Drosophila melanogaster: one gene and its partners. The protein of the gene in region 4 interacts with the protein of the main gene of each other region in a pairwise test. Each region holds a gene or a part of one and is shown on either strand. Other genes may lie near its edges.

The links.
Region 1: the proteins of CG13928 (region 4) and CG10527 interact in a two-hybrid assay, tested with the Drosophila melanogaster proteins (one large-scale study listed by BioGRID).
Region 2: the proteins of CG13928 (region 4) and indra interact in a two-hybrid assay, tested with the Drosophila melanogaster proteins (one large-scale study listed by BioGRID).
Region 3: the proteins of CG13928 (region 4) and Dok interact in a two-hybrid assay, tested with the Drosophila melanogaster proteins (one large-scale study listed by BioGRID).

The regions. Positions count from the first base shown.
Region 1 is NT_033778.4:21,069,430-21,074,971, forward strand, and holds CG10527 (uncharacterized protein), read right to left. Parts: upstream 3,361-5,542; 5' UTR 3,306-3,360; coding exon 3,296-3,305; intron 2,467-3,295; exon of another isoform or gene 2,375-2,466; coding exon 1,973-2,374; exon of another isoform or gene 1,632-1,972; coding exon 1,153-1,631; 3' UTR 939-1,152; downstream 1-938.
Region 2 is NT_037436.4:1,338,339-1,344,520, reverse strand, and holds indra (indra), read left to right. Parts: upstream 1-2,117; 5' UTR 2,118-2,129; coding exon 2,130-2,149; exon of another isoform or gene 2,150-2,451; coding exon 2,452-2,593; intron 2,594-2,659; coding exon 2,660-4,699; 3' UTR 4,700-5,061; downstream 5,062-6,182. Other genes in the region: Ptp61F (protein tyrosine phosphatase 61F), read left to right, coding at 1-193; Hmbs (hydroxymethylbilane synthase), read right to left, coding at 5,351-6,182. UniProt on the Drosophila melanogaster protein: Required for rDNA copy number maintenance and non-random sister chromatid segregation (NRSS) following unequal sister chromatid exchange. Binds ribosomal DNA (rDNA) preferentially binding to intergenic spacers (IGS) regions on both X and Y chromosomes.
Region 3 is NC_004354.4:7,322,551-7,330,124, reverse strand, and holds Dok (downstream of kinase), read right to left. Parts: upstream 5,912-7,574; 5' UTR 5,537-5,911; coding exon 5,453-5,536; intron 4,590-5,452; coding exon 4,272-4,589; intron 4,029-4,271; coding exon 2,562-4,028; 3' UTR 1,319-2,561; downstream 1-1,318. Other genes in the region: Acsf3 (Acyl-CoA synthetase family member 3), read right to left, coding at 1-534, 618-807, 888-965; Atg5 (Autophagy-related 5), read left to right, coding at 6,453-6,605, 6,680-6,779, 6,862-6,967, 7,343-7,568.
Region 4 is NT_037436.4:1,625,291-1,631,022, reverse strand, and holds CG13928 (uncharacterized protein), read left to right. Parts: upstream 1-2,645; 5' UTR 2,646-3,073; coding exon 3,074-3,811; 3' UTR 3,812-5,232; downstream 5,233-5,732. Other genes in the region: GC (gamma-glutamyl carboxylase), read left to right, coding at 5,362-5,732.

The DNA of each region.
Region 1 (5,542 bases), on a different chromosome or scaffold from region 4:
TTTATACTAGCGACCGGTATTTGTATCTCAAGTACAGATTCATTTTTTGTTTACTATCCCTTAAGTTGTAAATTTTCTCAAGAGGTACTTCAACATTTAAAATGTTTGTGATATTTGGCAAACTTAAGTAATCAAGGCATATTAGGTTTAATAGGAACATGAATACTTTGTCCTTTAATATTTTGGATCGAATTTTAAGTTGATAAGTATCTTAAGCTTGTGTCCAAACATTATTACCTCTAATCAATGAGACCAATTTAATATAGACTATTATATTTTATAAGCTTCACATTGGCAGAAGGGTATTTTTGGGTCTGTAAATATGATACTTTTATTATTTTAAAGCCATTTCAAAGCCAGGTGTTCAAAGAAACATAAAAAGGTTAGTTGCTGACCTAAAAACTTCACATGCTGGTTACTGACTTTAATATAGTTGATAGACTAAACCGACTCAGTTATACCCTTAATTTAAATGTAAATAGGCCAATATGATATGTTTCATTCATTTTAAAAATGAATAAAAGAAAACATGTTTTGGTATAAATATATATATATATAGCAATATGTTCCTTGTACTGCCAACATTTCAACTAACTTTGTATGAGTGTTTTATGGGTTCACTGATAATGAGATTAGGAATAGATTTTCATTGAGTGGGAGTAAATTATTTTCAATTGCCTGCTTAAACTAATCTATAGATTTCAGTCATTTCATTTCAGTCATGATTTTATTAAAAAAAAAGAATGTTTGATACTAATTTCATTGAGTACAAATGGATTAAAAGGTGATTAATGATTGCGATAGAACTGTTAGATTCACTAAAACCAAAATCCAACTAATCTTAACACACCACTTTTTTGAAAAATTAAAGCAGCTATTCAGCTTATTTTATATTTATTTCCAAGCTTAATGAATGCAAATAAGTGCCTATTTCAGATATGTTATTTTCTTAAACATATTTATTGTTTATTAACCAATTTCGTTGAACAATGTAATAAACTTTTCGACATAATATAGAGATTCTTTAACAGTTTTGAGTAGAAATGCACATATAAATAAAATAAAATTTCTGCGACCAGTTGAACTGTAAAGCGCTCAGATTAACTGATTTAAAACGTTTTGTTTCAGTGCGTTGGACATTCGATCCGTGGCTTAGTTGGTCACATAGATTTCGAACTCCTTGTAGGCCAGCTCCTCGCCGCCGTACGGAATGTAGCAGCATCCGTGGGAGGGCTGCACCTTGCCCACAGTGATAGTTCCGTCGTGGGTGGCACGGCCGATGAACAGTGGTTCGCCCTCGGCGGTCTCTCCGGCAGGCAGGGCGTTGGGCGGGATGTTTCCGGCATCCACGGGCAACCACTGGCCGCCGCCGGCGCACAGCACCTCGTATTCGGCGTGGCCGTGCTCACCACCTCCCCAGGCTACGTAGGTCACTCCGTGGGAGGGATGCAGCTTGCCGGGAATGAGGTCGCCCTCATGGCGGGCACGGGCGATGTACAGCTGCTCGCTGCTGTCGAATCCTCCCTCGAGGGCGTTGGGTGGCACCTCACCGTTGGCGGCGGGCACCCAGCATCCTGGTCCGCTTCCTGTGGGCGCGGCGAAGCCCATGACGGGAGCCGATGGAGCGGGCTCTGCAAGGAAATAGTGGCATTTGTTAGAAATTCATGAAATCATTAGCAAATCTTATACATATATGTATATATAATAGGCAAATACATATTTATAGCAAGGATATAGTCTTGGAGAGCAATTAAGTGTTATTGATCAGTACTCAATAGTACCAACTCTACGAGTAGCGGGTATAGTAATACTCGATATTCAAACTGAAGCAGCTGACTAGACAATAGATGCCATTGAGCAGCTGTAGAACAATAGCTAACTTAGATCATTACGATGGGTAAACTAATCAGAGAGGGTAAACACCTGTGCTTTCCGTTTGATAGAAAAGGCGTGGAACAGAGTGTAAACTCACCATCAATCAGCCAGGTGCCGCTGGCACCCCATCCCGTGCAGATGCCGACGAAGTTGACCGGGAACAGGCTACCAGCATCGTAGGAAAGGAAGGCGGCGGCGTCTCCTTCGCGGCCAACGGTGATGACATTGTCGTACCAGCGCACCCAGAAGCCACGGAACTCTCCGGCATCTAGGATGCCCGGAGTGGGCACCTCAGCGACTTCGGGCTTCTGGCGGTCCTTGCGGATCACCGACTTGGTGTTCTCCCATCCTCCCAGAAAGATCTCGAAAATGGGACCGTTCTCCTCGGGCGCGGGTGTGAGTGCCAAATGAGCATCCTTGGGGGAACGCACCTTGAAGGTAAAAACTCCACCGCTGGCGGGGAAGAATTGGTACTCCAACTTATCGGGGGTGTTGACTTCTGCAAATGAGATGGCATATTAGTACAAATTCTCAGAGGCAACTGTACACTCGGCTACGTTTTTCTGAGCCAACTGTACCCACTACTACTTTGAAAGGTGGGAAAGTTTTGAGGTTTGAATTAACAACCTCAAACATGAGAATGTTGTCATAAAAAATACTTGAACTGGAAAGAATTCGTAGCTATTTTTATGTTTGTTAGGTTTCTACGTACATATAAACATACATATATCAGCATGTTTAGCGTCTGTTTTTGTTTTCGCTTGCTTATTAGCACCATTCGCATGATGTCATTTAGATCGCCATCAGTTCTTCGCAACAAATTGTTCTAGCTAATTCCACTCAAGCTTAATTTCGAGTTTTGAGCTCTGAGCCGGCTCTACTGCCACTCGAGCGACAAACATTTGCCCAGATATATGCGAGGTTTGTGCTATTCACTTTGAATAGATTACACGAATGGTTTCTCAAGCAGCATTATTTCGCATGACATCATTGGAGGTGCATCTTTCGTCTGACCTCCCTAGGGTCAACCCTGCTGAATTCCTATTGATTATTGTCGGAGTTCAAGGCGAAGACCAGTGACTCATCGCATATGGTGAACAATTTCGGACACCTTTGGTCGAGAATCAATTCGATGGGTCATAAATTAGGCCAAATAAAGGCAGTCCAATATGTATAGCATATTGCCGTTAATTGAATCTGGACGATCACAAGGTGAAAGTCGCTTGTATTTTTCACTGGTAAAAACCCAGCATAGATAAAGAATGGGATGTTTCGATTCTAGGAATTGGACGACACAATGCTATTTTGGTCGTGGGCCAAAAATTCCGCCGCACATTTCCCTATCTTTAAATTCACCCAATTATCCATTCCATTATCCAACTGCTCAGGGCACTCCACCCACACCCACTGGGAAACTCACCGATTGGCATGATTGCTGTTTCAATCAACGATGTTCGCTTACTGAGATTCTGATTCAAACTGCCCCAATGGAGCCCAAATGCCGGCGAGGTAAGCAATGCTAAAAAACCGAGACGGTGAGAGAGTAAAAGCTCCAAGAGCTTTGGCGCTCTCACTTGCAAAGTGGGAGATCGTTGGCCATATAGAAAGTATTCGAACTGTACCAGCTCGAATAGCTAACTTATTCACATAGCGGTATACTGCACATGCTAAGGCTTATCTTTAATTATTTTAAAGGCAATTATTTTTCTTAAATGTAAATCTTAATTAAAGGCTGATAATTTCTAGCATAATGGCATAGCTTTAAAAAAAATTTCTTTACTTACAAATGTACATATAACTATTTTGTACATGGGCACAATATTAGATAATTGTAATTTCCTTTTTAACTTTTTGTTCCCTGGACTTTCACCTCGTGGTAAGGGCATGTAAGCTTCGGTATAACTAAGGTAGTTTTGTCACCTAGTTTTGCTTAAGAGGTCTATGACTCAGGTTGGCAAAAGCTGCTGCTTAGTCATCAGAACCATAAGCAAGCTTTTATTGCTAAAATGCTTTTTCTATGGGCATGATAATTTTCATATCGCTATGCGAATAAATATTTACTATTTACTACTGTATGCAAGGTGTACAATTAGTATGCAAGGCACTTAATGATGTGACCTATTCCAAAAAAGGAAGGCCCTAAAAAAATCTATTAAATAATGAGCTATAAATTGGTTAAAAGAATTGGTTGATCTTAAAATAATGAATTTCTTGAGTATAAGAGACTTACTTCTATACTCTATGATGTTCCAATGCTTCTAAAATATATGATTAACTTTCATTTCAGCTAGGGTACATTCTATTCGATCAACTTGTGTTTCGCCTTCGTTTGCCGTTAGTAGTGTCGTCACTTATTTTGGCGTCATGTGCCGCTTTTATATTGTGCGGTCACATGGATATCCAAACCAGGGCATCAAAAGCTACTGTCAATGATTTCACCGCAAGGGTCCAAAATGGTTGATGCTGACATAATGTGCTAGACTCTAGACAACAATAATAATAAGATTACCCATTGGGTCATCATTTATTTATTGCGCTGCCGAAGTAGATTTAAAAAAGTATAGTTGCAGCATATGGTAGCATACTTTTGGGGTCACCCTCTAATTGAGTGCCAAATGGTAAGACTGTTTTTTTTTACCATGCTTTTTTATCCGTCCTGTGACGGAAGCGGGATTATCTTTCTTTACGTCACCACTGCTTATTTCTTGGCCTCTCAATGTCAGTCGGTTTTCTTTCGTCTCGCCGGTTGGTCGCACTTTTTTTTACATTTATATCGAAACAACGTGCATGCGCAGAAATCCCCACGAAGTAATATTGTCTAAAATAAACAAATTGTTATTTGTGTTCCCAGCTGCCGGTGGCCGTGCCAAATTGTCTTGTGATAAGAGTAGATCAATTGCTCACGCCGTGCAACTTGGTGTATTTATAACGGAGACAGCTGAACACACAGCCAAAAATATATAAACATACATACACACATACTGTGCACGACGACAGACGAGTAAACAAACAATGCACTGCTCAGGAAAGGACTTAATTTGTTCTTAACTGTGGCGTAGTACTAGATCATTTTACAAAGAGGTTACACTCGTGTTGTTTGGGTCAGTTCAGTAGAAGCATGGAAAATGGCTTCTTAAATATTTTTAAAGGCTCTAGGCGAAACATTGTTGTAGTTTGTTCTTTGTTTCGTTTGTTATGAGTCAGGCGTCTGAAGTTTAACCTTAATAAGTATAAAACGCATGCCGTCAAAATATTTCATCATTTATATCTAATCTTTCAGATAACTTTTCAACAGAATGCACTTTTCCCATTGACGAGCCCCCAAAAATTCTGCTCAGATAAACTGGCGAAACAAGTTTAATCTGTTTACACTTTCCCATTTAGTTTTATTGCTCAGTTTGCATAACACAGTGACCTCTGGAATGCTGGGCCATCAATTGCCATGCTTGCCATTCAATTAAGAGATATTTTCATTGGTGAAATACATTAACTCGATTCAATTAACATTTCCGCTGGCGGCTTTTGCGACATTTCCAGAGGCAAGTGTAAATCTGGTTGAGTTCACTCAATTGAATCCAATTGGGTCTTAGTACCAGCCTCCCGGATTTTCTCGAAAGTGTCAACAGCCAATTGAGATTTAAGTGGCCTAGGGCAATCAACTTCGCAG
Region 2 (6,182 bases), 290 kb from region 4:
CGAGCTGAAGCGGCGAAAACGCAACGAATACCAGGCCAGCCTGGAGCAGAAGGTCAACGACATGAAGCGGAAGCAGCGGGAGAACGAGGACAAACAGCTGGCGGCAAAGAAACGAAGGTCATTACTCACATATATTGCCGCTGGTGTTGTGGTGGGCGTGATCTGCGCCTACGCATACACGAAGCTAGGTTAAGTGCCCCGTAGCCACTAAGTAGTCGTAGATCAGTAGTAGCAATAGCTGTATGACGTATTTAGTTGCCGTAGGAGACCGATTCCTCCCCTGATACCCGATTTCCGACTTCCGATCCCCACCTGCTCGTCCGCCTGACCCGGCATCTAATGCGGGCAACGAATCAAGGACGACGTGCAACGGATCGGAAAGGATCAGAGATCGGACGGAATCGCATCGCAACGCCATGCAATCGCACACGAATTGCGGATGGCGGATTGATTGAGCTGAACGAACGATACAAGATGCATAAATATTAGGGAATTTTTTATATACGAAATACAAGAAGGAAAACAAAAGAAACAAATGAAAGAAAAGAAGCAACTAAACTAAACTAACGAAAATCGGGTAGAAATCACGTCAAATGTAGATTTTGCGCAATAGACTGACATTTTAGATCAAATTTATTTTCTACACTCTAAAAATGGATTGATAACCGACCAGATGCCCCAAACGAGCCATACCAAATGCAAAGCTCACCCTACTTGCTCGCTATGCTTAAAATATTAAGAATATCATAACTACCAATGTTTCAAGCACCCGACAACCACCCACTACACGCTTCACTTGTTGTTGTACAGCAATTTCTTATAGCATACGACCTATGTATATTTATTTATGAAGATTATGAGAAACCACCACTTGTTGTAGTACATGGCAAAATATAAAGTGCAGCAATGTGCCAAAAAGAACCGAATCGGAGAATTGTACGAAGTGTCCTAAACGACTCTTAATTTTACTTTGCCTCCCGCCTACCACTACCACTAACTTTGAATTGTTGTGTTTAAAATTAAAGACCCTGTCCCCCCTTAAACGAGCACTTTATTAATGAATCGAAATTCAGCGCCATTAAAGCAATAACTTACGGTTAAACAAAACAGCTCGATGTACACCTATATCTCGTTTAACGCTTTTAAGGAGTGTTATAATCAAAATTGTTCATTTCGCACACTCGCCCCCGATCGATCTGAAATCAAAATAAAGTGATTCTTTTTTCAAATTGTGACCGTGGACTAGTTGCACGTGGCTAGTTGCAAATCAAATTAAACTAAAATCGGTTTACTAAGTCGCTAAGCGAAGTATAGGTGTATGATTTAATTATAATCCAGGTTTTGCCATAGCGAAACCATTTTGTATTAGAACGAGAGAACGAAGAAGGCGAAAGACTATTCAATGGTTTTTCCAGTAGAGTAAGTGTGCAGTCCCAATCCCAAGAAACATATTTATATAAACGTGTAGCGTGAGAGGACGCAAATATTTTTTATATGTGTAACCCACACTTTAACAAAATTCAAGTAACCACCCCCGAAAGCGAGGCACTATGAATCCATATGAAATCGGATGGGCCCAGGAGGATAACAAATAAAGGAAATACATATTTATATTAAGTATATTTAACAGAAACAACATGAACAATACCTAGTAATGCCTAGTTAACTAAACGTCGGCTAAGTACACCAACCGTACACTGAAACAAATCCAACACAACACAGTACTATACAATATTATGCCTATGAGAGAAAGAGAAAGGAGGAGCAGAGAAAGTATTCAAATAAAGCTATACGTTTAAGACATGAAAACTGCGAACCGCTTGATCCTGGCGCATTCCCTTGCCATGTCCTTGTCATTCATAACATTTTTCATCTCTTTGTTTGCAGGCGCGGGAACCGACTCAAAAAATCCAAGACAAAGTAACGGCACAGCCCATCCAGGTCAGCACCAACACAAAGAAACAAACTAAACATATCATTTTGCATTACTGTAGCTTCTAATGCCTAAATAAACTATTTTTAAATTGGAAACCAAGTTCAGAGTTATCGATTATATATCGACACGCAAAGCTGTTGCATAACGCGACGTGAGCATTAACAGAATGTTAATGTAACTTAGTGTGACCGGAATGCGCAATATACTGCTTTGGTAATATTTTTTAAAGTTGCTACTGCCATTATAGGTAGTTTAAAAACTGTTTTCTACACTCTTTCTAAATTTGATGCAAAAATTATTAAGATTAAGATTCGTTCTGCGAACGTTCTGCAGTTGCTTCTTTTAACGTGCAACCATAATATATAAGCACACTATGTGGTATATTTTGGTGACTCGGTCTGGCAGCACTGCAGTTGATTAACATAGATAGCAGTGTTTGGTAACTGTAGCCCCGCAAAAAAAAAAACGTGCGCACGTTGTTTGATTTCTGTTTTTGTTTTTGCTGGAAAACTTAGTGAAAATATGACCAAGGTGCAAAAAGAGGTGCGATGCGACCATTGCGGCACAAGCCAAGGGTCCAAGAGTGTTTTTTCAGGTCAGAAGGTGTTCCTGGGCAGGAAAATAACAGACGTACTGGAGACCATCACCCACAGAAGCGTGAGTTGGAAATGGCGGCATTCTGATTTCCCTTCTCGTCATCTAAATCATCCCATCCCATTTCAGATCCCATCATCCTTGCCCATCAAGATATGCTTCGTCTGCACCTCCACATTCATGTCCAGCGCGGCACTAATCGAGAAGGTCCGCGAGACGGTGGACAGGGTACAGGAGCAGCCCGCCAAGAAGACTAAGGTAGCGGAAATAGAGGAGCCATCGACACAGGAAAGCGATAAGAAGGCGGTTAAGGTGCCAAAAAAGAACACCACCCTCCGTCAGCGCAGCAAGTCCATAGCAGCTTTCCCGCCAAGCTTTGTGAATGGAGCTAATACTAATACAGAAATCGAGATCATTAGTGCTTCGCCCAAGAAACTCGATAAGACCCCTAAAAAGCAGATATCTCGACTCTTCGAGGATAATCTTAACGATTCGGTTAAGCTGACGCCCGCCAAAGAGGTGTCGTCTACTAAAAAGGCTTTCCTTAATCTCTTTGGCAACGGCGGCAACGATGCCATCGAAGTACTGACCGAGAGCGAGGAAGAGGAGGACTCGGATAAAGGTCCTATCACCATTAACACAAATAACTTTCAGTGTCCAGAGTGCGAATTTCACGCAAAGTTTCCCAAACCGTACAAGGAGCATCTGCAGAAGGAGCACGGTCTTCAAAGACCACGCATATACCCCTGTACCTTGTGTATTAAGACTTTTGGAGTGCTTAAGACTTTGAAAAATCATTTAAGGGACACTCACTCACGCACTTTTGAAAGCGAGGCTAAGACTAAGGCGAAGGAAAGCAAGGAAAAAGAGGCTAAGTCAGGGGCCAAGAATAAAATTGACGCAAAGGCAAAGGAGACCAATGCTGTGAGTCAAAGGAAGAAGCCAAAAGAAAAAAAGTCCAAAGAGAAAAAGACAGAGATCAAATGTAATGTTGAAACCAAAGTGGTTGACGAAATCGACGACCAAGTGAACAACAAAAAGGGCACAGATAGTGAGGACGCAGACCAGACCCAGGCTACCAAAATCGCCTCCTTTAAAGCGCTAAATGAGTCATTAATGAAGAAAAGGATGTTAGAGAACGTGATCGACTCGGAATATACATTTGCCATCAATGGATCCAGCGCCTCCACTCCCAGGGCGGATTCGAATAATTTTCAGTGCGAGATCTGCGACTGTGAGCTGATGACCGCCAAGCAGATGCAGGAGCACATGAAGACCGTCCACAGCATCGACAAGCCAAAGGTTTTCAAGTGCCACGTCTGCGAGAAGAGTTTGGCTACCAAACAGTCGCTGAAAACGCACATGACTCTACATGCCGACGGTGCTGAAGCGCCGAACTCCAGCAAGCGAAAGATTCTGCAGGACGAGGATGAGGACGTAGACATTCTGGGTACGACTCAGATTGAAAACACGGCCGAGAAGGTTGAAGGACCTAAGAAATCACAACAAAGCCCTACTAAAGCCGCAAAGTTCACCAACCGAAAGATTCTGCAAGAAGAGGATGAGGTTGTGGAAATTGTGGACGCTTTTAAGACTGACAACACCGCGGAGGATGATGAAGGACCCGCAGAAGAAAAGATTATACGATCCAGGAACAACATTCAGCACCAGGTCGATGGAGGCATGATTGCACCTCGGTCGCCAGCTAAAAAGACAAAGAAGACCAGTCACGTAGATCTGTCTGTGTCCACAACCAATGGCAATTCGCCTGCAAAGTCAGAAAAACGAAAAAAACAAGACAAATCTGAGGACACGCTCCCCTCATCTGATGTAGACATAGTGGAAGAAATCAACTACAACGTGCGGCCGCACAAAAAGGCTCGCCTGGAGTCCATTGGTGACTCAACAGCCGACGAGTCGACCCTCAGCTGCGACCGGTGCGGGAAGTTCGTCAAATCGCGTCAACGCTTGGACTCGCACATGGAGAAAAAGCACGCCGCCAAACTACAGTGCACCCTATGCAAGGAAGTCTACCAGAACCAAATGGATTACGTGGCTCACTTCTCGAACTGTGGTTCCGAAGGTGGACTTCCATGCGGCGTAGCCAATTGCAAGAAGGTCTTCACGGAGGCCAACTTCCTATCCTCGCACCTGCGCAAGCGCCACTAGTTGCACTAGACTCCCTTTTATTTTTGTTTTTCATTTCATTCTCTTGACCAATGTAGTTTTACGTTAGCTTATTGCTATGTTAAGTATAATTCTTTGAATTTTCAATGGCTAACTTTGAAAGGGTCTATATAAAGTTGATAAAAGTCGATGAAAACTGCAATTTATAACAAGGTTACTTCATACATTTTTAACTATTATTAAGTTCAATTCAAAAGATAAGTTTAATTTGTATATTAAGACTTTATTATAACCGCATTGGTTACACCACTTGTACTCACCAAGAGTATATAAATTAGCTTGAATGTAATAAACATATTTGTACTGAGCGATGAACTGTTAATAAAAAATGGCAAAAAGCTACGAAATTGCTTGTTTCAATCAGTGGAGAGAAAAAATGACACAATATGAGTTCACTTATACATTTATTTGTCATATTCCCGAAACAAAAACAAAACTAAAATAACGTTTACGCGGAAACCAACCATTAACGATGCATTCGCCGGGGAGAGCAGAAGGATTGAATACAATACCGATGTTAAATCAGGGGAAGCATGAGTTCTCCACGGGAGTTCAACAACGAGGCGGAAATGAAAAACATTTTGTCTAGTTACACTTTTCTACTTAATGTAAACGATGATATTGATGACGGGCTCAAGACGACGCCACTTTGCCGTGAATCTCTGCCTGGGCCACCTTCATCACGTCGAGGGCGCCGCGCTTGATCAGGTCCTCCGCCAGCGTCTTGCCCAGCTGGTTGGCCTTCTCGTAGATGCCCCGACTGTGACAGGCGTGCTGGTAGAGACCGCAGAACAGGTTTTCCACATCCTCAATGAGCACCGAGTGCTGCGGCGTCGGCTGCTCCTCGTCGGCGTAGTCGAACATTTGGACCGTTTTCTGCAGGAACGGGCACTTGGCTGTGGCTGCGTTTCCGTTGTCCTTAGCCGGCGCCTCAAGACCGCTGCCCTGATGCATGGCCGCAAAGGGACACTTGGAGGAAGTTGCAACATTATCCACTTCATCGCCAGCGCTGCTGGCATTACTGGCTCTGCTGCTCGGTGGCGTGGGCAAAATAGAAGCTGATGCTCCTGCCACACCGCCAGTCACTGGACACTTTCCAGCTTGGGCAAAGGATACCTTCACATCGTTGTTAACGTACGGACATTCGCCCATGAAGTCCTGTCCCACGGGCATCTGTAGTGGACAGTGAGCAGTGGTGGCCGATTCCCCTCCACTTCCACTCTTGGCGCTGAAGGAATCCCCAGAGTCTGCATGCGCTACTGGACATTTGGCAGGAACCATTGCCTGATTGTGCGGCACTGGGCACTGGCCCATCACTTCCTGACCGCCCACCAAGCGAAGAGGGCACTGACGGGGAGTGGTGTTCACATTGTTGGTATCCGCATCGCCACCACCACTAACTCCGGTAGGTCCCACAGCATTGTTGTTACTCAGCACTGGGCAGTGACTGGCCAGATCCGAGAGC
Region 3 (7,574 bases), on a different chromosome or scaffold from region 4:
CCAAGGCGGCATGCATTCGATTCATGGATAGTATTGGCAGCATACAGTCTGTAGGTCCCAAATGCCAAGTTCCGATCAAACATCGCATCTGAGCTTCGATATTCCGATGGGTCAACAACACTGGCTTGGGACTATTGACCGCATTGGGCGTATAGATCAGCATGGCTGGTGCCTTGGAATAGAAATCGTTTGGAAACGTATTTTCCGTTACGATAACACCCTGGATCGCCACCAGCTGTTTGGCATACATCGATGTCGAGGATACACTCTCCGCCGTCGGGAGAAATGAGTGATCCAATATGATGGTAGCTGATTTCACACCCTGCGACAATTCCTGGGCAAGTGACTCAAATTCCTTAGTGGCTATCAGTAGCTTGGTCTTGCAGTTCGATGCCTGCCGTTGCAATTGATCTATCGCCTGGCCGGATTCCAGTGGAACTGCCACTTGTCCGGAAATCCAACAGCTCCATTGTATAGCTATCCACAGGGCGTTGTTCGAGCACAAGTATGTTACATTCGAAAGCGCGGCGCCGCCTGAAAAAAGAGAAGAATTTGCAAACTTTTTGAAATTGAACCGTAAATAAATTGAACGTCCGGAAAAATGGTTTGTCACTTACCACATATATTTGAGATCTGAATGCCCAGACGTTTGGCGGCCATATACAATTGAAAATAAGTGTACTCCCCATTGATGTCTTTCACGGCGATCTCATCCGGATAGAGCATAGCCTTTTTGAACGTGGGCACCACCACATTACTACGCTCCTCTTCATCGAAACTATGGCGCAGCTTCTCGATGAAGCCATCCTGCAAACATTAAATAGAAATTGTGGAATTGCAATTACATAAATATTATATATATATATATATCTACCTATATATATTACCTTATGTATCAATTCGGCGGAGCAAAGACGGGCCAATGGACGCAACTTTAACTTGTGGCAACGGCGAAGTAGCAGCATCTTACTGTTTTTTTTTTGTTTTTTTTTTTTTTTTATGGATTATTTGATGGTGTGTGCGCGAATGCAGCTATTTTAAATAATAGTACAAAGAGCAAAATTTAACTCAGATTTTCAGTTGCTATCGCTTGAAAAGCCAAAACGATTCTGAGATTCGTAACATGACATACTTGAGTGGACACAAATGAAAGTCGTTCAATTCGATTTGTTTGATTTTTTGTTGGTCTTTATTTACACAATAATAGTTTGCAGACACAAAAATTAATAACTACAATAGTCATAATCGTAAACGTAAGGTAAGTAAAAAAAAAAAGATGATATATTTCAAGTAAAATGAACGTCACTATTTTTCTTTTGGTATTTTTCTTATTTGTGTTCGCCTTCGTTTGTTCGTTTTAATTTATATAAATTTTTTTTTTTTTTTTTTGTGACCTTTGCATAATACTCAAAACTGTCGTTTACAACAATCCTGGCTTGAGAACTCGAACGTGCATGGGGTAACGATGGGGCGGGTTTCTTATTTGGGTTATTGAGAGGAGGTGCAATCGAAAACAACACTTAAGAAACCTATTGTATATTTACAGTCTAAGATTGAGCAAAAAAAAAAAAAATAAGAGTCAACTATTTTGGGTGATTTTTGAGATAATGGCATTACACCGTTTGTTCCTATGGCAGCTATATGATCTATCATACAAAAACGTATAGGAATAACAATTCGAATAACCGATTTATATGGCATCAAAACCTTGAGAAGACGGACGGATAAACGGAAACAAGTACAATTGCAGTGTATTTAAAATCTAGTTCCTTTAAATATACAAAAACACATATATTTAGCATAAATCGCATACACATTTTGTAAATTTTCGTTACGTCCATGATTCGATTGAGTTTCATTTTTCTCTTGCTTTAATTTAACACTACATTTTAAGTAAGAGCCGGGGGAATTTTTCGAGTGCGATCATCAAGTGGCGGGCAGTGCTTGCTAAAAATGTAACAGTTTCACAATTAACAATACAATCACAGATTACGAATTTAACATAATTAACGAAAAACAATTACAAAAAAAAAAAAAATTGAACGATTCGAATGGTATTTGTTTTTGGCTTGGCAAAGGGAAGGACAAATTCTGGGATTTAGAGATTCGACGCACTTCCTTCCCTCGATTTCCAGCCAGGAATTTCTTTCTTTTTGTAGAACTGTAAGGCACTCGGCAGTCTCTTCTTTTTCACTTATACTCAAAATGTATGAAATTATGTAAAAAGTTACTGGCACGTTACTGTTTTCAATTTTGTTTTTTAAATTTTTTTGAACATACATTTACATTTGTTATCGCAACACTTAAAATGTATCGCGAAAAGCACACAAGCTTATTCATCTGGCGTCGTCCAATAACGAAATAGTCATGAATTTGACTACTGGGAAAATCCAAATTAACATGTCAACAAGTTGTGTTGAATTAAATTGAAAACAGCAACAGTTCTGGGACAAATAAAAACTAGGACTATCTCCTCCCGATCCACCCCAAAACCCCACTGCACCCAGTTCGATGCCAGGATCTCTGGATCCTTGCTATCGGATCTGAAATCCTTAAATATTTTACACTCGCTTCGGTTTGCTGACCATTGTGTAGTTGAGGCCATTATAGCTGCGATGATCGATGGCTGCCGCCTCGAGATTGCCGCCTTTGTTGGCCGTTGCAGTTGTGATGGTGCTACTACCGCCGCTGATATTGCTATTGGAGATTCCTAGATTATTATTGTTCGTAGTGGTGCTAGCCTTTCGCAGCACCCCGTAACCGCGATGACTGTCATCGGCTTTACGGAAGCTTTCCGTATCGGGACTAGCGATCAATTCGTATTCATTGGGTGGCGGTGGACTGCATCGTATGCGATTACCGGGTGTGACATTCACAATGGTCTTATAGCCACTCGATGTCTTATTGTTCGGCGATAGAAAGTCTAAACGATCGTAATTCGATTCACTAATGGATGTGGCGCTAGTGCAACCCTCACCGATATCGATGTCTATGATCTTGGGTGTATTTTGGCTGCCACAGGTGGATTTCGATACTGATCGCTGGCGTACAAATTCTGAGGTATCGCAGAGTATGGGCATACGTTCACTGTGCCTAACATCGCCCACGCCCCTTGTGCGCCACGCCTCTGTGATATTTTCGATGCACTCGTAATCCCGCTCCGGAGGCGGTGCTTTCGAGGCGCTCTCATTTCGCAGCGGCAAGTCGGGCGGTAAATCGGCTGCTGTTTCCGGCAGGGATATCGATTCGCCTTCCAGGGGTTTCAGTATCACTGAACTGTTCACATCGGAATTGGCGGATGGCGAAGATATCGTAGTTATGGCCACAGGTTCATATTTCACAATATTCCTGTATTTATCACAATGGGTTGTCGGGCTTTTGCGTGGCGGTTTGTTGGGAATGTGTTTGCTGCTGCTGCTGTTGCTATTGCTATTTGCGGGCACGGATAGCGTGATTCCTCCGGTACTTCCTAAAACGCCTCCACCCGTTGCTGTGGCGCCACTTGCTCCACCTCCACCCGCCGAGAAGTTATTAAGAGAATCGTTAGAGCTAATGAAGCCCCTCAGGGATATGCAGCTTTGCGTTGAGTTGATCTCGAACTCGCCACCGTGGGGATTACTCGACGGTGATGGTGGCAGTGGGCTTCGCGAACCGGGCTCCATGCCAGCTGCCGCACTAAACTGATTCTCACCGCACTCCAAGGTGCTCAGACTATCGCCGCTAATCAGTTTCTTCATCGACTTCATCTTGGCGGACATGCAGCGGAATACCTCCTGTGGATTGGTGTGATCCAGGGTGAAAACGCCTTCGCCGGTGGTGCATTTTCTGCCCGCCTCAAAGGTGAACTTGCCATCGCGATAGCCGTACTTCCTAATGAAACGATATGGCCACATGGCGATTGTGGCGCCCAAATCCTCCGATTTCAACTGAAGTTCAGTGGGCGTCATTTGGAGCATATATGTCTTAGGTTCAATGCAGCAACGAATGGAGGCCTCGGATGGAATCAACGTGATAATGAACAAGCCATCCTGCAAATTTATAAAAGGTGTGGATTATTATGGATTTTTTATGCGGTTCGGTTTTTTTTATATTCTTATTTTAAACGTGCCAATTATTGTCAGAGACTAAAAATGGAATTGGAGGTGCATTTTCACGTTAGTTTCTTAAGAACGCTTTAGATTCATCGTATACCCCTTTTGACAACTATAAGATTACGCAAATATAACGAAATACCCCAGAAAGTTTTCGCTTATACAGAGATGATCACTCACAAAGGAGCTGCAGTAGAGGTCGTTGTCCTCCTCGATGGCCCCGATTCCCCCCGATGGTGAGGTGTCACAGAAGGCCACCGTTTGCAGGGCGGTGATCCAATCCTTGAGCTCCTCCTCGCTACTTGTGCTCAGTGTTAGGGTAGCCTGCCGCTTGACAATGTGAATGAGGCGTTCGGGAGGCGGCTCCTGAGTGATCTTCACACAGTTTTCGAGGGTGAAGATTTTGGGGTTCCGGTCCTCCTTGCTTTCGCACATCTCCAGGCGGGCAATCCCATGCCGACTGGCCTTGAATAGCAAACAGTAGCGACTGCATGCTTTCTGCAAAAAAAAAAAGAAAAAATTGGGATTCGATTAAATCGGTTTGGATGTCTTAAAACGATTATATCTTAGTAACGTACTGAAGAAGATGTATTGTATATGTATATGTATATGCATATGAAACTGCAGTGTATAAATAACCAGAATCAATTCAAATTTGTCTTAAGATTTTGTAGTATCCTGCATTGGATAATGCTAAAAAAAAATATAAAAATAGAGTATGAGCATAATGGGCTAAACCGTGAAGTACTTATTCGCCCTCACTCTGCCCCTTCTCTGCGATCCCCTGCACCACCACCCTTTTTCCCCAGTTTTCTGCTGGCTCAAGAATTTCCTGTCGCGCATAAACACAAATACCACGAAGTAGCATGAATCGCCAGCTGTGTGTGCCATCTGAAACTCCAACAGTGGGGGTAAAGTTATTAGGATCAATGCATAGCATGTTATTCGAATTTTAATTTAACTTAAAAGCATCATATTATTACTGCCTGATATATTGTTTTTAAATACGGTTTCACTTAATTCATTAAAGGGTTTGTGTTGGTCTTGGAATATTAATATTATTAAAAATGATATGCTAATATTATGGCCTTAACTGTATGAAGTCGGCCCCTCTCTCGCTCACTCCCTCTACCGCGTATCGCTGTCTCACTCCCACTCGCACAGTGGGCCTCATTTGTATGCAACAAGTATGCAGACAGAAACACATGCACATAACACACTCACATTAACACATAGGTCCTGTTTGATTTATCGAAAACTACGCACTTGTAGGATAATTGCAAACAGAAAGTAACTTTTTAAACCCTGATAAATGGGGAAATATTTATATAGAAGGGCGGAAATACGGCGATTTTCCATACCTTTTTCGAGATGCGATTTAGCGAAAATCCAGTTTGGGTCGGCACATTAAGATATCCAGCCAAAACAGGTATTTCAACATCCATTCTGTGCACCACTCCTCCACCTCTCCTCTCCTTCTTCCCACTCTCCTTCGTCTCCTGCTCTCTTTCCCTCTCCTTCGCCGATCTAGCTCACACAATGCGCCTCCGATTCCGAATTGTTGTTGTTGTTGTTGTTGCTGGAGTTGGGCTATGCGATTTCTGGAGTTTTCCTTCAATTCATCCGTTTTTCTGTGCTTTACGATAGCTTCGCGGTCGCATTTAGTTGATCACTTCATAGTAAACATCACATCATATCGCACAGCGAATACGGAGATTCGAATTTCGAAAAGCGCAGCCGCAGCACAAAAAAAAATCACCAAAAAGCGAGCACAGAGGCAAGTCGACTTTATTTATTTATGCGCTGCACGGTTGCATGCAGCTGCTGCAATCGTCATCGATAACTAATGGCGATCGATAACTTATGGTTTTTTGGTAACAAAGCGGTTGAATTATTTCTTAGGTCTAAAATAATAAATTAATATCATATTTTTATAATCTTGGTATGTTTTCCTCTCCTAGCGCGCAATTTTAATTTCTCATAATTGCGTTGTTGGAGTTATCAACATTTCGATCAATACGAAAAACTTGTTATATTATTTTTTTGATATTTTATATTATTTTGAATGCAAATATATATATATATATATCTATGTGAAATATTAAGTTACAAATTTATGGTGAAAATATTTTCTGTGAGCAAATATTTTAATCGCGTGTGTTTAAAAAAATAGCTATGAATAAAAATAAATCAAACAGTCTGGCAGCAAAGTGGCGTGCGATATTTCAGCGTTGCCATCTTCGAATGCCAAGTGCCATCACTATTATCAAATAGCATTGTTTCACCCATCTGGTAACATCGCAAATCGTATTGTGCAAAAAGGAAATATAATTTAGCCAAAACAAAAGCCAAATAAGGAACATGGCCCACGACCGCGAGGTGCTGCGAATGATCTGGGAGGGCCAGATAGGCATATGCTTCCAGGCGGATCGGGACGAGATCGTGGGCATTAAGCCGGAGCCTTTCTATCTGATGATATCGCGACTCAGCTACTTGCCTTTGGTGACTGACAAGGTAAACAAAGGCTTCAAATGGAAATGGCCATACCAATTATAAGATCCCAATGACTGTCGTACATATCCTGGCAGGTTCGCAAGTACTTCTCACGCTATATAAGCGCCGAACACCAGGATGGAGCTGTGTGGTTCGACTTCAATGGAACGCCCCTGCGACTTCACTATCCAATTGGTGGGGTTTACATTAACGAGATGATGATATCATAGCATGCCCATTTGATACTAATGATGGTACTGTCTTGAATCCTGGTTAGGTGTCCTATACGATCTGCTGCATCCGGAGGAGGACAGCACGCCCTGGTGCCTCACCATTCACTTCTCCAAGTTCCCCGAGGACATGCTCGTCAAGCTCAACTCCAAGTATTTATTAAAGAAATCGCCATACCAGTTTGTGTACCCCACAGTCGTGTTTGCGAAATCTTATCTTTAACACGTCGTAACTTGGGATTGCAATCATATATAGTTTTCCCTTTTCGAGTCTCAATGAACAATCACCGTGGATGTCGAAGTAATAACAGGGTAAACAATTGCCCATCAAGCAAATCCCGTGTTATAAGAGAAAATGTCATATAAAAGTTGGACCAAATATGAATTAACAACTTCGCACAAAGATAAACGTACCACAATAGGGTTTTTAATACGTTTCAAATATTTGAAAATAGCATAGTTACCTCGACTAGGGTACACAAACTGTTGGTTCCAACTGAATTTTTACTGATGATCCGCAACTCTTAGGGAGCTACTTGAATCGCACTACATGTCCTGCCTGAAGGAGGCAGATGTGCTTAAGCACCGCGGCCTGGTCATATCCGCTATGCAAAAGAAGGACCACAATCAGCTTTGGCTGGGATTGGTCAACGAAAAGTTCGATCAGTTCTGGGCCGTCAATCGGAGGCTAATGGAACCGTATGGCGATTTGGAGTCCTTCAAAAACATTCCCCTGCGAATCTATACAGACGATGTGAGT
Region 4 (5,732 bases):
ACGTTTAATGTATTAACTAATTGATTCTACAAGCGCCTGCCCAAAGTGCTTTGCCTACCAACACATTGGGGCACGAACAAAATCGAAATTAATTAGAGAAAAAACCAAAGATTAATGGCGAAAACGAAATCGAAATCCAATTCCAAATCCGAATGCAGGTATTTTTAGCAATATTCGTAGCGTGTACAATATGTCGCCCTTAAAGCTTATTAGAATCAATCTCGTTCAATGTCCATCTCAACTCACCCAGGCACTTCACATGCATATAACCATTAACAGATATAAATCAATATATGTATGTAATAACCAATGACAAATGTTTAGAAGAGTTTCGATTTTTGTTTGGATTTTAAGCAGACCCGAAAAGAAAACAATTGTATACACAGAAACAACACCCATGAAGCCCCTGAGTACGGAGAGCCCACTGGAGCTCCTGGCATCGCATTGCGATTTCCCGGAGTCCTTTTGGGCGGCGGAGTAATTCCGAAGTAATTCCCGTCTACCAAGACGGACACACAAAACAAAGAAAAACTCTATAAGAATCCCCGAAAGCAACAGACGGCTAATGAGAGTATATATATATATGAACCGTATATAAACAATAATATTACTAATTAATTTAATGATTAATTGCACCCCGAAAATACATAATTATTTAAATAAATAAATAAAAACAAAACCAACGTGTTTTCTAAAGCTGGGTAAGCATATTGATTGAAGTAGGTGGGTATTTAAATGAAAACAATAACTTCATTGTTTTAAATATTAATTATGTGGAAATTTCCCAATGCTGACATGTTCTCCAAGCTCGTGAACCAGATTAACTCCCAAATTGGGCGACAAAGGATGCGCTGCCTAAAAATAGGAGCACACAAAAAGTGTAGCATACTATCCAGCGCACTAAACTGCGCACTTGGTCTGCATACATAAATACCAATTGGGGCGCAGACAGCGTGCAAACAGGGTAATGGAAATAGAAACCCGTCTGCGGTGGGGAGCCTACGCTTATGTCAGACAAGTGGGGGAGCACCAGGCGCCTATTTACCACACACACACACACACTTGCCACACCTGATTAAAATCTATTGACAATGCAGGCGACGCGAAATTGGAGCGGCGCTAACAAGGCTCCACAAAGGAATCGATGGCCCCTGCGACGGAACAGGACCAAAGCCGCCCGGCAACCAGCACTTAATGAAACCCAATTACCGCAGGTGTCCGCCAGGCAAATCCTGGCGGCGGATGGCAAACAATAACAGCTGCTGCCGCAGCACCTGCAAATTTTATTTGCATTTTCCTGCCATTCTAACACCTCCCAACTTTTTCCCAGGGGTATATTGGTTTCTATTAGAAACTTGCTATTCAAATAGTTGGTGTTCTACAAATTTTATAGATTTAAATTGCGAGTTCCACTCGTATGTATACTTGATATGTGCTAACATATTTAAAAATCGATTTGAAAAATGCATAATTGTAAGTCCCTGCATTCCTGGTAACTCTGAGGTCTCAACTCGCAGTCAACGAAAAATCACTTGTTTATTGTTATCAACTTCGATGCCATTTCCCGGCAAGGACATGCGCAAACACCCCCACTTCCGCCCACATCACTTGGCCATCATCCCCTCTGCGACACCAAGGATTAGGGAAAGGAAAAGCAGAAGGGACACATCTCCGAGTGGAGCAGAGTGGCGTATAAATACCACGCAGCTCGTGCGCACAGCCTCAGTTGGCGGACCGTGTTGCTCGCGATTCCCTTTTCCCAGTCGCTGCGTCCGCAGGTGAGAGTTCATCCGGGAAACGGCCAACTGTTGCCAGTTGCACTCGGCGGGTGGCGCGCTGCAGGGAGCAGTATAACGGCCCCAATTACTGCCCCAACTGCAGCAAATTACGGGTGTGAATTTGATTAATTGCCTTGAAAAGCGATTGTGAGCAGAGCAGAAGTGACTGTAAGCCGGGGATTTGATATAACGACTTGTATGTAAAGTTGACCCCATTTCCGCTTTAATTGGCCATAACAACACAAAGTAAGTAGTGCTCTTCGTACGATTTGTACTATAAGTAAAGTTATTGCTACTTCCGAAAGCATGGTAGTATTTAAAGTATTATTTTGGAATTCTAGTTCCACATTCAAGGACAATCTATCATATACAATACAAATCTTTAGAATATGCGATTTATAATTATACAGCATAAAAGCGATGCCAAACTACAGTAAAAATGTTATGCTAACATATCATATCCAAGATTATATTATGTTTCATCAATCTGGCCAGTTAAATATACAAATGTATAAAATGTGAAAAAAACATATAACCTTAAAATCACTGGTGTAACGGTGTTTCAATCCTTCTACTGCACACACTGCACTTACCCCTATTTCCAACACTGTCGTGCAGAGGAGCCCCAATCGAGTGGCACTGGGGGTGAGTGCTGGCGAGAACAAAACTGGTTGCCAGTCGGGTCGGCGGCTGGTCAATCATATGGCGAGAATAGTGGTTAAAGCCACCCCTGGCGTGGCAGCTTTATCGGGGGTTGCATGTGGTGTTGGGATTGCACGGTGTGCCGAGTGTATCCGATTCCGACTTCTATTCCGAATCCGAATCGGCGGACCTGGTCTCGAATTCGGAAACGCAATCGGTGGCTCGCGCACAGTCAGTCTGCAAACTTCGGAGCGTGCGGTTGTCAAGTTTCGGTCGTCTGCGTGTTTTCTCTTTCCCGATTTCAGCACTCTTCCCGCACACACACACACAGCACTCGCCACACACACACACACACACGGACGCAGACACAGGAAGAAGAGTGAGAGAGGGTGGAGCGGAGAGGAGGCGACTTTCGCTCGAATTTCTCGCTTGTTGTTATTGCTGCTGCCTGCTGCTGTTGCCGTTGTTGCTGTGGCCGTAGTGTATATACCCACTGTGTGACTCCACAGTGTGCGTGTGTTTTTTCCTGAAAGTTCGAATTCTCTTTTTCCGCCTGCTTGAATCAGACTCGGGTTCGGATTCAGAATCGAAATCGATAGTCACCAACCAACTAACCAGCCAGCCAACTAACCAATCAACCAACCAAAGTCACCATGGCCGACAACAATAACTGCCCAAAGTGCAAAAAATCGATCGCCGCCAAGGAGGCCACGAGCATCGGGTGCAGCGGCGAGGACTGCCGGAGAAGGTACCACCGCACGTGCGTCAACATCGACGACGCGGTCTTCGAGGCGATCCAGAAGAACTCGATGATATCCTTTCACTGCGACGAGTGCAAAAACCAGTCGCCACGAGCCTTCGCGGCCAAGCTGCACACCATCGAGGAAAAGGTCAATAAGGTGTGCAACGGGGTCAACCAGATCCAGGGCCGTATGTACCAGCAGTACTTCCAGTTTGGCAACCAGCCGCTTCAGGCATTGGGCGCCTCGGCCGCCGGCGTGGGTGGCGGCGGCCTGGGTGGCGGACTGGACGGGAAGAAGCATCCGCAGCAGAACAACCTCATTGTGGTAGGAAACAATTGTAACTCCGACCGACTGCAAGTGGTCTGCGACTACGGGCGCTGGGTGCAGGTGGGCAAGTTCGCCACGAACACCAGCGAGGAGGACGTGATCGATCACCTGGCCGAGGAGCTGAAGATCAACAAGAACCTGGTCAAGTGCACCAAGCTGGTGAAGAACGATGCCAACCTGTCGCAGTTGTCGTACTGCAAGTTCAAGATCTCCATTCCGGACTACCGCTTCAACGAGCTCTTCAACGAGGCCATCTGGCCCAGCGGCGTGATGGTCAGTCCCTTCACTCCGCGCTCCCAGCTCAACCAGAATCGCCTCTAGAGGAACGGGCCCGGCAGCCGGGAGAGCGGTGACCGGGCGAGGGTGAAGCAGGAGCATAGGACAGGCTGAGCAGGATGAGGAGGATGAGCAGCTGGAGAGCAGGTAGCCAAGGGAGAGAGTGCGCCTGCGCAGGGAGCGGATGAATGATTACGAGCAGCAGCAGCAGGAGGAGGAGGAAGAGGAGGAACTGCATCGCGGCCTGGCAAACAAGGGTTGCTATACGGACTGCAGCACACCGCGGATTCCCCCGAGTGCGCCGACTTGGGCTGATTGATGGAGCAGCAGACGGAGGAGCAACTATGTGCCCCCATTGTATGCTAATTTTCGACACTCGAAAACATTGTCTAGATCTTTAAAAGCTTACAGAACCTATCTAATGGAAAACCAAGAGCATATTTATTGAATTAACTTTGAAAATGCATTTTAAAATGTTTTAGCGTTGCGTAAATAACGAAATGAAATCGATAAAGAAAACCAAAAGTATTTTAATGGCAAACTCACAAGTAAAATAGATGTGAAGCAAAAAATATTAGTCATTTATGCATTACTGTCGTACTTAAATTAAAGTAAACCGAAAACAAAACGAGAAAACTAAGGAAACCAACTAAACGTACTTAAAGAGACACTCACACACACACACACACACACACACACACCGAAAGCGGTTATTCAGGCGCGTATTTAAACCATTTACCAATCAAACATTCAACCCAGTCAATCCAGGCACCGAGGTTCTCCCTTCATCTTCATTTTCCAACTCACTTCCGGGGTGTGGGGATCCTACGGATCGACCAGACCTACGGAGATTCTACTACGACGCGTGTGCGACTACCTATCACATTAAGTACTTAACCGTAACCAATATCAAAACCTATATTCAAGCAGACGACGGCTTATATTGTATTCGTATATGTATGTAGTTTGAGGCATTTTCAAAGCTTGTTCCTGTTCCCAAAGACGTTTGGACATTTTGCGAACCACTGCACAGGACACTGGCCAGCAGCTAGACCCATTCAGATTCAGATCGAAAGTATATATATATATGCATTTGCGTTTTCGACGGCCGGCACTCCCAGTTGGGATGTCCGCCGGCCCGGATGGCAGTTATCACAGTTACCACACACGTTCCACACGGACAGGACTAGAGACGAAACTAGAGGAAACGAAGCTGGGCAAATCCGTTGCAATAATAACTCACTGACCGAGTATAATGGATGTACATTTCGTAATTGATCTATTTTTTTACACCGATCCGACAGCAATATTTTCCGTGGACTCCACGCCAGCGATCCGAACAGAACCGTAGATATTTACGCAAGAGTCAGCAAACGAAATGTAAAACACATATATTATATATTTAGTATACAACAATATGCATGCATGTATTTATGTCAACTTTTTCAATAAATTCTACAAAACTTAAATACCAAACAACCATTCGAGGGGATTGATCTTTGGGTCATCTATGGGCAGATCTGTAAGGATAACGTTTACTATACTTGCAAAGGACGTGTTCTTTCGCATTCTTTACAGATTCAAGATTCAGCAGAATGGCCAACTCCAAGCGAAAGCTGCCCACGAAACCCAGTGCCACAGAGGACGCTACTCCGCACAAAGATACACCTAGGTCGTCGGAAGAATTCCCCACAGATGTAAATCACAAGAGTGCCAAGAAGTCCTTCCTTCCTCAAAACGCATTCTTTCGAGATTGCCTCGGTCACGATCTGAGCAACTTCACTAGCCTGACCAACTTTACCAGCTGGCTAAACAGACCCGTAGATGGAGCTGCCCTGGGCATCTTCCGTCTGCTCTACGGAGCAGCCATGCTGATTGACATCGCAGAGGAGCGAGGTGGCGGCCAGCTGGACGTGCGGTTTCAGGAGCCGCTACACTGCCACTTTCCACTGTTCAACGGGATGCG